2 linked regions of the Ovis aries genome follow. The protein of the gene in region 2 purifies or fractionates together with the protein of the main gene of each other region. This does not show direct contact. Links are inferred from orthologs where the notes say so. Each region holds a gene or a part of one and is shown on either strand. Other genes may lie near its edges.

What was found.
Region 1: the proteins of ATXN7L3 (region 2) and TAF10 purify together in Homo sapiens (affinity purification with mass spectrometry; 7 studies listed by BioGRID and IntAct, with this or other methods). This does not show direct contact. The link is inferred for Ovis aries from reciprocal best matches to the Homo sapiens genes ATXN7L3 and TAF10.

What each region holds. Positions count from the first base shown.
Region 1 is NC_056068.1:46,196,016-46,198,991, forward strand, and holds TAF10 (transcription initiation factor TFIID subunit 10), read left to right. Parts: upstream 1-941; 5' UTR 942-966; coding exon 967-1,198; intron 1,199-1,336; coding exon 1,337-1,491; intron 1,492-1,727; coding exon 1,728-1,792; intron 1,793-1,880; coding exon 1,881-1,995; intron 1,996-2,178; coding exon 2,179-2,268; 3' UTR 2,269-2,349; downstream 2,350-2,976. Other genes in the region: ILK (integrin-linked protein kinase), read right to left, coding at 2,580-2,729, 2,899-2,976. UniProt on the Homo sapiens protein: The TFIID basal transcription factor complex plays a major role in the initiation of RNA polymerase II (Pol II)-dependent transcription.
Region 2 is NC_056064.1:43,751,261-43,755,006, forward strand, and holds the start of ATXN7L3 (ataxin-7-like protein 3), read right to left. Parts: upstream 2,276-3,746; 5' UTR 2,024-2,275; coding exon 1,814-2,023; intron 1,515-1,813; coding exon 1,382-1,514; intron 1,179-1,381; coding exon 1,007-1,178; intron 811-1,006; coding exon 713-810; intron 526-712; coding exon 503-525; intron 203-502; coding exon 136-202; intron 1-135. UniProt on the Homo sapiens protein: Component of the transcription regulatory histone acetylation (HAT) complex SAGA, a multiprotein complex that activates transcription by remodeling chromatin and mediating histone acetylation and deubiquitination.

The sequences.
Region 1 (2,976 bases), on a different chromosome or scaffold from region 2:
TCCTACTTAACTCTGTATTTGCAGACCCTAGCTCAGGACTGACAAAAATAAATTTTTGCTGTGTTGAAAACCCCACTCTTTCACTAGCCGTGATTTTACATAAATTGTTTATTAAGACTGAAAGACAGCCATCCCTCTGTATCCTCGGGTTCTCCATCCACAGATTCACCCAACCGTGAACTGAAGATATATATATTTTTTAATTCCAATTATAAAAGACGAAACTTGAATTTACCATGCACCAGTAAACTATTCACATCGCATTGGATATTATAAGCAATCTAGAGATTATATAGAGTATACAGTGCAAATACTATGCCATTTCATATAACGGACTTGAGCATCCACGGATTTTGGTATACATGGGTTGGGGACGGGAGTCGGGGGAGTCCCGGAACCAATCCTACCAACCCTTCACCACCTATACGGACGGTGGACTGTACCTCTCTCCCCATCTGCAGCAGCACTGTGTCAGCTGTCCGGTTACCTTCACTTTGGGCAGCTGGCGGGGAAAGAGGCTATTCAACTCCACTACAAACCCTTAAAAGGCTGGATAAAGGAACTTAGAAAAGATGCAGACACGCAGGCGACCAACAGTAGAGAGGTGTCGGGGCGATGAGCATCAAAGCAAGAATTTTAGACGTCAGGCTGGGTGAGGGGGCCTCAAGCCCATAGAAGAGAATCCTCGACATTGAGGGGTTCCCATCCCAGCGGATCCACACTGGAGAACCGCGGGTCCGGACGCGAAATGTCCGCGCCAGCCCAGTTCCGCAACACTTGGTCTCCGCCCTCCCGCCTTTGTCAGGTAGCGGCTGGATGGGCGGGGAATAAAGGAAGGAGGCCTAAGGGAGGAGCGAACGTGGCGTGGGAGGAACGAGTCGTGGGGCGCGTGACGTCACCCCTGGTGTGTGCGTAAGGTGAACGGAAGCGGAAGCGGCTCTGTTCGCCGCCTCTCCCACCGGCCCGATGAGCTGCAGCGGCTCCGGCGCGGACCCCGAGGCGGCGCCGGCCTCCGCCGCCTCGGCCCCGGGCCCGGCGCCCGCGGTCTCGGCCCCCGCCGCGCTGCCCGCCGGCACCGCCGCGGAGAACAAGGCCAGCCCCGCGGGGACGTCAGGGGGGCCTGGGGCTGGAGCCGCGGCAGGGGGCACTGGAGCCGTGGCGGCGCGGGCCGGGGAGCCTGCCGAGCGGCGCGGGGCGGGTGAGGGCCGGGACGGGTGAGGGCGAGGGCCGCGCTTTGGGCTGGGCCCAGCGGCGGGTGAGGGCAGAGGGTAAGACACACCTAGCGGAACCCTCGAGCCTCCCACCTCCGTGTCTCAGTTTGCTGGTTTTCCTCCAGCTCCAGTGACGACCGGCGGCGCGGCGCCCCCGGAGGGGGCCATGTCTAACGGGGTTTACGTGCTGCCAAGCGCGGCCAACGGAGAGGTGAAGCCAGTGGTGTCCAGCACGCCTCTAGTGGACTTCCTGATGCAGCTGGAGGATTACACGCCTACGGTGGGCTTCCTGCCTGAACAAGGCTAATGACTCGCTGTCACGCCAACTTCTGCCACACCATCTGGATTTGCAGCATCCTCTTGTGTTTCTCTTCCTAGCTTTTGTGATTTTTCCCTTCTGCCCACCCAAACTGGGAGCTTCCTGATAGCCAGGCCTGCCCTCCATTTCCCTTACCCCGACTCTCAGCCCCGCTGTACACAGGGCTAACGCTTACAGTCGTCTAATTGATTTCTCAGATCCCTGATGCAGTGACTGGTTACTACCTGAACCGTGCTGGCTTTGAGGCCTCCGACCCACGCATGTGAGTAAACTCTGGGCAGGTTAGAGTGTTGGGTGTTTGTGTGGAGTTTATTGTCTATGCTCTTCTCATACCATTTTTTTCTCTCCAGAATTCGGCTCATCTCCCTAGCTGCCCAGAAATTCATCTCAGATATTGCCAACGATGCCCTACAGCACTGCAAAATGAAGGGCACAGCCTCTGGCAGCTCCCGAAGCAAGAGCAAGGTGTGAGGGGAGGCTCATTGATTCAGTAATTACTTCCTACAGCAGCAGAGGCTTAAATTATCCTGAAACCCCTTTGAGGGAAATTAAGCCTTAGGGGAGGTGAAAGACCTACTCAGGGTCACCTGCCTGGGATTGAAATCTGGAATTCCTGTGTTCAGCTGGTGCTCTTCCCTCTTCCCTCAGGACCGCAAGTACACTCTAACCATGGAGGACTTGACCCCTGCCCTCAGCGAGTATGGCATCAATGTGAAGAAGCCGCACTACTTCACCTGAGCCACCCAGTCTAAATGTACTTGTCTGTTCTCTTGTCCCCACACCAGCCTGTTTTCATAATAAACTTTATTGTGACAGGCAGGGCTGATCCCTCCCATGCTGGGAGACACCGTGTGGCAAGTGACAAAGCTTTGAGCCCATTCCCTTTTGGGGCCACAGTGGTAGGGATGGGGGCAGGGGATGGGCCCCATGGCTGGGGTAGTACCATGACTAGTGGCAGGGGAGGCAACCAGAGGCCTACTGCTTTGGGGAGGTGCACTCCCCTAACCGTGTCCTGACACCTCTGGAGTTCAGATAAGGACTTTCCAGCTCTACTTGTCCTGCATCTTCTCCAGGATAGGCACGATCATGTCAAACTTGGGCCGCTTAGCAGGGTCTTCATTCATGCAGATCTTCATGAGTTTACAAACGTGGGGGGAAATGCCTGGTGGGATGGTAGGCCGAAGGCCTTCCAATGCCACCTGCAAACACAAGGAAAAACAAGGTGAGTCTCAGAACTTGAGTCTCATGTCGGGAGAGACGTCTAGCCCTCAGGACAGGATTCTGTGTATTTGAATCAATGTGGCAGGAGCCCAGCCCCACTACAATTATTGTCACTACCACCACAAGTATATCCAGTTATGCTCTCACCTTCATTCCAATTTCCATGTTGGAGAGGTCAGCAAAGGGTACCTCCCGTGTCACCAGTTCCCACAGAAGCACTGCAAA
Region 2 (3,746 bases):
TAACCAGAGAGGAAGTGGGGGTGATAGAAGGATCACAGGCCCTCCCTCGATTCCCCTGCCCCTCCACCTCCACCCTCCAGCAACAAGTCCCAGAAGACATAGTTAGAATCACTCCCATTGTTCCACCCCACTTACCATTTTTGTGTTTTAAAGACTTGGATCTTCGAGGGGAATTGGGGTTCTGGAATGGGAGATACCATAGCTTTGGGGAAAGGGTAACGATAAGGGGGAGCCGAGAACCCAGGGAAGGAAAAAAGATTTGACAAACATCCTCAAATTTCTACTCTTTCCCACCAGTAAGAGGCCTTTCACCCATACTCCCTCCTCCCACCTACCCCCCAGGCCTCTGCTGCCCTCCTGCCCACCAGACACCCTCGGCCCTGAACCCAGAGAGGTACCCAGTGACCTCAGACTTGAGTCAAGACACCCGAGGACTCCCTGCCCAAAGGGGAGGGTATCTGTCCTTGGCCCAAATCTCCCTCATGCTTGCCCCGGCTCTTACCTTGTCTGATTTTCTCTTCTTGGCTGTGTAGGACAAAAGGGTAAAGGGCAGGGTCACTTTAAGTTCCCAATCTAAGAGCACCTAAAGAAAAGTTACAAAGCTACACTCTCCTCCCTCATTAGGGATAACAACTTGTGACTGTTACACACTCAATTCCTGCCTGCCTGCCTCACCCCGATGGCCCTCCCAATTCCCCAGATGCCCAAACACCTTTCTTCTCTGAGCCATAGGACCAGTCGTTGTCATTGATGTCATCATTATCCTCTTGGTCACTCTCTGACTTGTTCATGTTGTTGCTATTGGCAATCCTGCCGAGGGGAGGGAAGAGGAAGGGTCAAGGCTGCCATCTCTCTCTGCCCGACTTCACACGTAGAGGGGAGCATCTGGGGCCAGGCGCGACCCACCCTCTATACCCTCCAAATGTCCCAGGGGGTGGTGGGGAACTCCACCATGGGATGGGCTGCAAAAGATGGGCACTCTGGTTCTAGCAGAAGAAGCCCTCACCGGCGGTTGGCGATTCGGCTGCTGTTCCGACCCATTCCTAGGCACTTCTCCAGGTGGGGAGCAAAACGGGAGGCGGCAATGCTTCGGCTGCAATTGGGGCAAACACACTCCTTGCTCTTCCACTGGTTGAAAACCTGTCCAAAGATGTCCAAACCCGGCTGGTCCACGATCTCTGGGGACAGGAGAGACGTAGCGATCAGGGCAGGCAAGGGGCCCTTACCTCTCGTTCCCACCCATGGCCCTGTGGCCTCTTCAGAGCCCCTGCCTAAGCTCCCAGGAGCTCTAGGTTCTACCTCTGGTGTGGTTGCTGGAGAAGGACCCTCCAAGCACTCCCAGGGAAGGGCTAGGCTGCTCTCCTTCAACCCTGACGCTCACCAAAATCCTTCATGCTCTCAGGGTCCGTGTCGTCCAGGAAGAAGTAGCCACACTTGACAGCCCGGTGTACCTCAAAGCAGAATCCCAAACAAGAATCCTCAACCAGGTCCGCGTATATCTCCTGAGCGATGGCCTGGGCCCAGGGGAGAACATCCAGGGTCACCAGAGTCACAGTCCCATGGACTGAGGGCAACTCTCACCAACCAAATCTCCTGCCAATTCGCCCTGGCCAAAAATAAAGCTTCCTTTGCCATTTTTTCCCATCTTGATTTTGAGTTCTTTCTTCTTCCGGATCCTTGGGCCTTCTTAGCTGGCTCTTCCCTTTAAGGAACAAGGCTGACTACCCAAATTCCTCTCTGGTGTGGATTCCAGATATAGCGAAGGACAGACATCAAGAGAAAGAACTGGAGGCACACGTGGGGGAGCCCTCACCTCTAGTTTGCTGTTATCCAGGCCAGACAAAGACATTTCCTCCATTTTCATTTGTGAACTCTTGTGGAGACGGTGCTCTGACTGCTCATAGCACAGCGGGCGGCAACACGGCTGCACACATGTGGGGGGGATGTTGGTGTGAGTCCAAGGCACCTCCGATGGCTGCCACCTCCCCTCCCCACCTCGCTGCCCAGAGCTTAATGGTGGCATCAAGATCTACCTCTCCCTAAGGCCTCGGTTAAGTCTGGATGGTCCTGCAGGGCCTGAAACCCAAGGGCGGCCTAGTCCTTCCCAGGCCTGAACTCAGGCCCTGGACTCTTACTGCCAATCAGAGTCTGGGTTTACAGGAGGCGGCAGCTCACCCCAGGTTCCCAAAACTCAAACCCCTCTTCCATACCCATGGTGCAATGCAGCAGGGGGAGGAGAAGGAACTCTAAGGCCTCAAAGCAAACCCACAGGGTGTGGCAAAGAACTGCACAGACTCCTAAATACACTCCCCCCCCTCCCCAGGCTCTCCTCAGAGTCACCTCTGCTTTCAGCCAGGATGTCCACTTGGGGGGGTACTGCTACCAGAAGTAGCAATGGCCCTAGGACCCTACAACCTTCACCCCACTCTGTCTTCCCTTGAAATAAGCCTGCCACTACAGACGGAGAGCAGAGCCCACAGAAACCTAGAGCTAAAAGGCCATCCTAGCCACCATGAGCAAGAAAAAGGAGGTAGAATCCGGTGGGATGGCATGCCAGGAGTGGGCACTCCCCTTACCTGTTCTTCTTTGAGATAACCACCCTCCCTCCCTCAGGACCAGCCCGGAAGTCTCTCCAAGAGCCCCAAAGTCCAGGAATCCCCACCAAAGGATTCAGAAACAGAGCACACAGTCCGGGGCCCCTCTGAACGGTGGGTACGAGTTTAAGGAGCTGCCGGCCTAGAGTGGGGTGGGGACTGACAAATGAGCCGGGGGCACTGGGGAGGGTAGGAGGCCGGGCCTCGGCTCTTCCCCCGTCCCTGCGGCACTGCTGCCGCATCATACCGACTGGGGGGAGGAGAGCCGAGCCGCCGGAGGCCGGCGCCGCTCCGGGACAGACCGACCCCTAGAGAGTGGGCAGAGTGGGACACGTCCCGGCCCCTCTTCTTCCCCGCCCGCCGACAGCCCCGGCCGGCCGGGGAGAGGAGTCCGGGAGGGTGTCTCTATTGTCCCGGGGGCTGGGGCCTGGCTCCCTAACAAAGGCCCCGCGCCCCCTCCCCGGCCGGCCCTGCCCCGCCCAGGGGGGACCCAGACAGGGGGAGAGCTGGGGGCCCCGGCCGGGCCGGGAAGCCGGGGGAAGCCGGGCGTTTCCGCGTCGGCCCTGGGGGAGGGGAAGGGGCGCTGACCCAGACCTGGGGGGAGGGGGCCCAAGCCCCGCCTCGGGCCCCGCCCCCCGCCCCCCACAGGCCCCTCCCCCGTCCCCGTCTCCGTCCCGTACTCACCCCGCCCGGGGGGCCGCGCCGGGGCCCGGCGGCCTCTCAGGGCCGCGTCCTCCGGCGGCGGCGGCGGCGGCGGCTGCTCCGGAGCCCCATGTCCGTCGGTCCGTCCTCGCCTCTCCCCGGGGCCCAGGGCCCGGGGCCGGGGGGTCGGGCCGCCCCCCCGCCTCGCCGCCTCACCGGGCGGCCATGGCCCCTTCCCCTCCCTTCTCGTCCCGTCGCCGCCTCCTCCTCCTCACCTCACCCCGCCCGCGCGCAGTCCGCGCGCCGTCCGCGCGCCCCTCCCCCCGCCCCCCACTCCAGCCCGCCTCTCCCGGGCGGGGGGTGCGGCGCGAGCCCGGAGCGCGCGCGCGTGCCGCGACCGGAGGATGGATGGATGGAGCGAGCGAGAACGCGAGCGTGCGCGCGCGCGCCCCTCTCCCCCTCCCTTCGCGCGGGCGCGAGGCCAAGCGCGAGCGCGCTCCAACCTCCTCC